Saccharomyces cerevisiae S288C: one gene and its partner. The protein of the gene in region 1 binds, or shares a complex with, the protein of each later gene. Each region holds a gene or a part of one and is shown on either strand. Other genes may lie near its edges.

Region 1 (4,504 bases):
AAGGAAGTAAGTAACTCGACAGTGGATGCTGACAACGGTGCCTCCGATTTTGAGGCAGGCCAGCAATTTGCTACAGAATTGGACCAAGGTGAAAAGCAGTTAGGTATTTTGTCGTGTATTGGGCTTATCTGTAATAGAATGCTTGGTACCGGTGTTTTCGCCGTTTCCTCGACCATTTACACACTATGTGGGTCTGTGGGGCTTGCATTAATTATGTGGGCAGTTGGCGCCATTATTGCCATTTCTGGGTTATATGTATACATGGAATTCGGTACGGCTATACCGAAAAATGGTGGTGAAAAAAACTACCTGGAGGCTATTTTCAGGAAACCAAAATTCTTCATTACCTGTATGTATGCTGCGTATATTTTCTTCCTAGGTTGGGCTGCTGGTAATTCCATCAATACAGCTATTATGTTTTTAACTGCTGCTGATACTGAAGTGACCAAATGGAATCAAAGAGGTATTGGTGTGGCCGTCGTTTTTTTTGCATTCCTAATTAATTCTCTGAATGTCAAGATTGGTCTATATTTGCAAAACATTTTAGGTATTTTCAAGATTGGTATTGTCCTCTTCATTTCTATTACCGGTTGGGTTGCCCTTGGCGGTGGTCTCAAAGATGGTTATCAATCTCACAACTTTCGTAATGCTTTTGAAGGTACTGAAACCGCCACTGCTTATGGTATTGTTAACGCCTTATATAGTGTTATTTGGTCGTTTGTCGGTTACTCCAATGTTAACTATGCACTTGGTGAAGTTAAGAACCCTGTGAGAACTTTGAAGATTGCTGGTCCTACATCGATGGTCTTCTTGGCTATAATCTACATTTTTGTGAACATTGCTTACTTCGCTGTGGTTCCAAAAGATAAGTTAATTTCTTCAAAATTGATTTTAGCTGCTGACTTCTTCGATATTGTGTTTGGCGGCCAAGCCAAGAGAGCAGCAGCCGCACTGGTCGGGTTGAGTGCCTTAGGAAATGTTCTTTCTGTCATTTTTTCTCAGGGTAGAATTATTCAACAACTAGGACGTGAAGGTGTGTTGCCCTTTTCTAATTTCTTTGCCTCTTCTAAGCCATTCAACTCCCCAATGGTTGGTTTGTTTCAACATTTTATTGTTTGTACAGTAACCATTTTAGCCCCACCTCCAGGTGATGCATATTTGCTAGTCCAAAATTTAATTTCCTACCCAATGAATATTATTAATTTTGCCATTAGCGCGGGTTTGCTTTGGATATACTGGCAACGTAGACAAGGTAAAATTGAATGGAACCCACCAATTAAGGCCGGTGTTTTTGTTACGGGATTTTTCACATTATCCAATTTATACCTGATTATTGCTCCTTACGTTCCACCTTCAAATGGCGAGTCGGTGTATTCAAGCATGCCATACTGGATCCACTGTGTAATTGCTTGGGGTATTTTCTTCTTTGGTGGTGTTTACTACGTTGTTTGGGCCCAATTATTGCCAAGATGGGGCCACTACAAATTGGTTTCCAAGGATGTGCTTGGTGAAGATGGGTTCTGGAGAGTCAAAATTGCCAAAGTTTATGATGACACTATTGGCGATGTCGATACACAAGAAGACGGCGTTATTGAAACGAATATAATCGAACATTACAAAAGTGAACAAGAAAAATCGCTGTAACCAAAAAGGTACTTACCATCTCATCTCGATTCTTATAATCACGTATGAACATTCTTATAATTGCATTTTCTTTATACAAAATATATAGGTACCAAACCTCATTATAATTTCTGCCATTTAATAGTTTAAGATGCTATTCCGTTTCGTATTTTTTCAATTTTTATACCTACTATTGCGCGAAATCAAAATAGCATACTAAGAAAAAGCAATATCATGAATTGCTGATGAGATAGATTCAAATTGGAATTAACTAAATCTATCAGCAACGCTATAAACACAGATAAGCGCTCTATAAAATCGTTTGTCTAACGTTTTATATAGTTCTTTATTGCTCCCTTACCCTCTTTCCGTCAATAGTGATTGTTGTCTCGGGAAAGCTTTTTTTTTTATTAATCAAAGGCCCAATTGAGTTACAACTGAAATTAAGCTGAGTTGGCGGAACAGTGTGGTATTAGCGAAGGGAAAATCTGTGAAGTGCCCTAGCTACAAAACAGAGATAAAAAAAATTATATTTCAAGCATGGTGGAGCAAGATAATGGGTTTTTACAGAAGCTACTCAAAACACAATACGATGCTGTCTTCCATTTAAAGGATGAAAATGGTATAGAAATATATCCAATATTCAATGTACTGCCACCTAAAAAAGAATATCCAGACTATTACATTATAATAAGGAATCCGATATCTTTAAACACTTTAAAGAAACGATTGCCCCATTATACATCGCCACAAGATTTTGTTAACGATTTTGCGCAAATTCCTTGGAATGCAATGACATACAATGCAAAAGATTCAGTAATTTACAAATATGCCATTCTTCTTGAGTCTTTTATTAAAGGAAAGATCGTGCACAATATAAGAAAACATTATCCCGAGGTGACATATCCATCTCTAGGTCGAATTCCGGAAATATTCGCAGAGAGTATGCAACCCTCCGATTTATCCTCGAACCCCATTAATACACAGGAAAATGATGAAAAGGCTGGCTTAAATCCAGAGATGAAAATGGCTTTCGCAAAACTAGATAGTTCGATCACTGAAAGGAAACCAACCAACCAAGATTACAGGATGCAACAAAAAAACTCACCAGCGTTTCCAACCCATTCTGCTTCTATAACACCGCAGCCGCTGGCTTCACCTACTCCAGTTGTTAACTATGCAAATATTACCTCGGCGCATCCCAAAACCCATGTTAGACGCGGTAGACCACCAGTAATTGATCTACCCTATGTACTGAGGATTAAGAATATCTTGAAGATGATGAGAAGAGAGGTCGACCAAAATAATAAGACGCTTACCCTCTGTTTTGAAAAACTACCAGATAGAAACGAGGAGCCAACCTATTACTCTGTCATAACAGATCCCATTTGTCTAATGGATATTAGGAAAAAGGTTAAGTCCAGAAAATATAGAAATTTCCATACTTTTGAGGAAGACTTTCAATTAATGCTAACAAATTTTAAGCTTTATTATTCTCAAGATCAGAGCAATATAATACGAGCTCAACTATTGGAGAAAAACTTCAATAGATTAGTGCGAATTGAATTATCCAAACCTGATGAAGACTATTTACCTGAAGGTGAATTAAGATATCCTCTAGATGATGTAGAAATCAATGATGAGAAATACCAGATAGGTGATTGGGTTCTTTTACATAATCCAAACGACATCAATAAACCCATTGTTGGCCAGATTTTTAGATTATGGTCTACTACAGATGGAAACAAATGGTTGAATGCTTGCTGGTATTTTAGGCCAGAACAAACCGTTCATCGGGTGGATAGGTTATTCTACAAGAATGAGGTCATGAAAACTGGTCAATATAGAGATCATCCTATTCAGGATATTAAGGGAAAGTGCTACGTTATTCATTTTACCAGATTCCAGCGTGGGGATCCTAGCACGAAAGTCAATGGTCCTCAATTTGTTTGCGAATTCCGTTATAATGAAAGTGATAAGGTTTTCAACAAAATCAGGACTTGGAAAGCTTGCCTGCCGGAAGAACTCCGTGACCAAGATGAGCCTACGATACCTGTTAATGGAAGAAAATTTTTTAAATACCCTTCTCCAATAGCAGATTTGTTACCAGCAAACGCAACTCTAAATGACAAAGTTCCAGAACCCACGGAGGGAGCCCCAACTGCCCCACCTTTGGTAGGCGCTGTATATTTAGGCCCCAAATTAGAGAGGGATGATCTGGGAGAGTATTCAACTTCTGATGACTGCCCTCGATACATAATCAGACCAAATGATCCACCAGAAGAAGGTAAAATAGATTACGAAACAGGAACAATAATTACAGATACCTTAACCACAAGCAGTATGCCCAGAGTGAACAGTTCCTCCACAATACGTTTACCCACTTTAAAGCAGACTAAATCAATTCCCAGCTCCAATTTCAGGTCCTCATCAAATACTCCACTATTGCATCAGAACTTCAATCAGACTTCCAATTTTTTGAAATTAGAAAACATGAATAATAGTTCTCATAATTTACTATCACATCCTTCCGTTCCTAAGTTTCAATCGCCCTCTTTATTAGAACAGAGTAGTCGCTCTAAATACCATAGTGCAAAAAAACAGACACAGCTATCATCAACAGCTCCCAAAAAGCCTGCATCTAAAAGTTTTACATTATCCTCAATGATTAATACCTTAACTGCTCATACCTCGAAGTACAACTTCAACCATATTGTTATTGAAGCCCCGGGTGCATTTGTGGTTCCTGTACCAATGGAAAAAAATATAAGAACCATCCAATCGACAGAACGTTTCAGTAGATCAAATCTAAAAAACGCTCAAAATCTCGGTAATACTGCTATTAATGACATAAATACTGCAAATGAGCAAATAATATGGT
Region 2 (4,052 bases), on another chromosome or scaffold:
TCCCCAACAACATCAGTTGCAGCAATTTCTTCATGTTCTGTTTGTTCCCCGTCCTCGTGTACCAGATCAACTACCCAAGAACGTCGCGCATCAGATGGAGGTATGTGTTGGAGAAGGTGTGCGCCATCATTGGCACCATCTTCCTCATGATGGTCACGGCACAGTTCTTCATGCACCCGGTGGCCATGCGCTGTATCCAGTTCCACAACACGCCCACCTTCGGCGGCTGGATCCCCGCCACGCAAGAGTGGTTCCACCTGCTCTTCGACATGATTCCGGGCTTCACTGTTCTGTACATGCTCACGTTTTACATGATATGGGACGCTTTATTGAATTGCGTGGCGGAGTTGACCAGGTTTGCGGACAGATATTTCTACGGCGACTGGTGGAATTGCGTTTCGTTTGAAGAGTTTAGCAGAATCTGGAACGTCCCCGTTCACAAATTTTTACTAAGACACGTGTACCACAGCTCCATGGGCGCATTGCATTTGAGCAAGAGCCAAGCTACATTATTTACTTTTTTCTTGAGTGCCGTGTTCCACGAAATGGCCATGTTCGCCATTTTCAGAAGGGTTAGAGGATATCTGTTCATGTTCCAACTGTCGCAGTTTGTGTGGACTGCTTTGAGCAACACCAAGTTTCTACGGGCAAGACCGCAGTTGTCCAACGTTGTCTTTTCGTTTGGTGTCTGTTCAGGGCCCAGTATCATTATGACGTTGTACCTGACCTTATGAACTGCCACCATACCACGTGTGTCCCTCGCAAGCCCTTGATAGATATACAATAGGGAATGGGCGTCCGCTCCACCGTGGTCAAAGACAGGGGCAAAGAGCTCCTAGGTCTATATATATATCTATATACATATTTATATATATTATTAGAACTTTACAATATAGTATATACCATTCATTGTTTAAGTTTCGGGTAATACTTTTTTTTTCCTTGTCATAACCCCAAAAATTTTCGATGCCTTTGATATAATTGAGAACAAGAAGAGTTTGCAGGTGACAAAAATCGATGATTATAGGTGTTGTGACGACAAAATGAACGCTAATATATGGGTGGCTGCTTCAGATGGTAATTTGGACCGAGTGGAACATATCCTCCGCGAGAGTAAAGGCGCCATGACCCCGCAATCCAAGGACATTAACGGCTACACTCCAATGCATGCTGCCGCCGCATACGGCCACCTGGATTTGCTGAAGAAAATGTGCAATGAGTACAATGGAGACATTAATGTGTTGGACAACGACGGCGATACCCCGTTGCACCATGTGGAGGATGTGGCCACTGCCAGGTTGATCGTGGAAGAGCTGGGTGGAGACTTCACTATCAGGAATGTGGAGGGCCAAACGCCATACGACTCGTTCGTCGAGAACGGTGAAGATGGTGAGCTAATCGAGTACATGAGGATTAAGTCCGGCGTGGCCGATGTTCACGGAGTGGACGGCGTGCAGGGTGAGGGTGTCATCGACAGCAAATTGCTGGAAGAGTTCAAGGACAACGTGAGATACACCTTGGAAAATGACCCTGAGGAAGGAGCCGATGAGGCCACTCTGCAACGCAGGAGGCAGTTGGAACAGATCATTACGGGAGACAACGCTGAGGAGGAGTTGGAAAGGTACATCCGTGCTATGGTCAGAGAGCAGATGCTGGGCCAGGGCTCCATGGCGGGTTCCGGGGACGAACCAGATTCCAAGAGAAGAAAATAACGACCCAGCACAAAGGCTCTTACAGCTTGCTAAAAGAAATTGAACGCGACGCTACATGAACTACTTCTTTCTCTTACATAGTCTTTTCCCTTATGTATCTTTTCTGTACATTAATAGACGTTCTTACAAGGTAAAATTTCACCGCGTTTTTAAATAGAATGAAAAAAACGTTGTAGAGTGAAAGAAAAGCAACAAATATACAGTTCACAAGGCAGCTTCGTATAGTAATACAGCACGAAAAACAGCTCATAGAAATGGTAACACAGACCAATCCGGTCCCTGTTACATATCCAACGGATGCTTATATCCCCACGTATCTGCCCGATGATAAGGTCTCCAATCTGGCAGATTTGAAAAAATTGATAGAAATGGATTCCAGACTAGATTTGTATCTGACAAGAAGGAGGCTGGATACGTCCATCAATTTACCTACAAACACCAAGACCAAGGACCATCCCCCCAATAAAGAGATGCTGAGGATTTACGTCTACAACACTACGGAAAGCAGCCCTCGCAGCGATTCTGGCACCCCAGCGGACTCAGGCAAGACTACATGGACACTGAGAATAGAAGGTAAGCTTCTGCACGAGTCCGCAAACGGAAAGCACCCATTTAGTGAGTTTTTGGAAGGTGTCGCGGTCGACTTTAAAAGACTGAAACCGCTGGGCATGGGCAAGAAGAGGAAACGCGATTCGTCATTGAGCCTTCCTTTGAATCTGCAACAACCCGAATACAATGATCAAGATAGCACCATGGGCGATAACGACAACGGCGAGGATGAGGACAGTGCAGAGGCAGAATCCAGGGAGGAAATTGTAGACGCACTGGAATGGAACTACGATGAAAACAACGTTGTGGAGTTTGATGGTATCGACATCAAGAGGCAAGGCAAGGATAATTTGCGATGCAGTATAACCATCCAGTTGAGGGGTGTCGACGGTGGAAAAGTACAGTACTCGCCCAACTTAGCTACCTTGATAGGTATGCAAACGGGCTCCGTTAATGACGCGGTTTATTCGATCTACAAGTACATTTTGATCAACAATCTGTTTGTTACGGAACAAACAGAGGCTCAAGATGGTTCCAACGATGCCGAAGACAGCAGTAACGAGAATAACAATAAAAACGGTGCTGGTGACGATGATGGCGTCGAGGGAAGTACTCCAAAGGATAAGCCCGAATTGGGTGAAGTGAAGCTAGATTCACTCTTACAAAAGGTATTGGATACAAACGCCGCGCACCTCCCCTTGATGAATGTTGTGCAAACCGTGAACAAACTGGTATCACCCCTACCGCCCATCATCCTAGATTATACAATTGATCTTTCCAAAGATACCACCTATGGTGCTACCACCTTGGATGTAGATGTGTCGCACATTCTCCACCAGCCTCAACCCCAGCCAAATTTACAAAAAGAGGAAGAAACAGATGCTGAAGACACAGCAAAACTACGTGAAATCACAAAGCTTGCCTTGCAGTTGAACTCTAGTGCTCAAAAATACCAGTTTTTCCACGAACTGTCTTTGCATCCAAGAGAAACGCTGACTCACTACTTATGGTCTTCCAAGCAAAACGAGCTTGTGCTGCAGGGCGACCAATACTTCAATGAAGATGCTGCAAGAACGAGTGACATATACAGTAACAACAACAATGACAGGTCACTAATGGGCAATATCTCACTACTGTACTCCCAAGGAAGACTATAACATCACTGTATGATCTCATTCTTTCTGCAATTATTGCACGCCTCCTCGTGAGTAGTGACCGTGCGAACAAAAGAGTCATTACAACGAGGAAATAGAAGAAAATGAAAAATTTTCGACAAAATGTATAGTCATTTCTATCAATAACGTATACACGTTTTTTTAATACTATCTATATTGTGTATCTTATATTTTTCCATTTGGTAGTATAGCAGCAAATATTTGTTCTTAGACGGCCACCATCCCTCACACCAATGCCTAACGCTTCCCAAGTTTACAGATCTACCAGATCCAGCTCTCCAAAGACAATCTCTTTTGAAGAGGCTATCATTCAAGGTCTGGCCACTGACGGTGGTCTTTTCATTCCACCAACTATTCCACAAGTGGACCAAGCCACTCTTTTCAATGATTGGTCAAAGCTCTCCTTCCAAGACTTAGCCTTTGCTATCATGAGACTATACATTGCCCAAGAAGAGATTCCAGATGCTGATCTAAAGGACTTGATCAAGAGATCTTATTCTACTTTCCGTTCTGATGAAGTCACCCCCTTGGTGCAAAACGTCACTGGTGACAAGGAGAATTTGCACATTTTAGAATTATTCCACGGTCCTACCTACGCTTTCAAAGACGTTGCTTT

The links.
Region 2: RSC1 (region 1) and RSC6 share a complex: the UniProt entries of both Saccharomyces cerevisiae proteins name them as parts of the two forms of the RSC complex.

Annotation. Positions count from the first base shown.
Region 1 is NC_001139.9:599,498-604,001, forward strand, and holds the start of RSC1 (RSC subunit protein RSC1), read left to right. Parts: upstream 1-2,163; coding exon 2,164-4,504. Other genes in the region: MUP1 (Mup1p), read left to right, coding at 1-1,644. UniProt on the Saccharomyces cerevisiae protein: Component of the chromatin structure remodeling complex (RSC), which is involved in transcription regulation and nucleosome positioning. RSC is responsible for the transfer of a histone octamer from a nucleosome core particle to naked DNA.
Region 2 is NC_001135.5:213,028-217,079, forward strand, and holds RSC6 (Rsc6p), read left to right. Parts: upstream 1-1,966; coding exon 1,967-3,418; downstream 3,419-4,052. Other genes in the region: ARE1 (sterol acyltransferase), read left to right, coding at 1-734; YCR050C (uncharacterized protein), read right to left, coding at 437-745; YCR051W (uncharacterized protein), read left to right, coding at 1,044-1,712; threonine synthase THR4, read left to right, coding at 3,670-4,052. UniProt on the Saccharomyces cerevisiae protein: Component of the chromatin structure-remodeling complex (RSC), which is involved in transcription regulation and nucleosome positioning. RSC is responsible for the transfer of a histone octamer from a nucleosome core particle to naked DNA.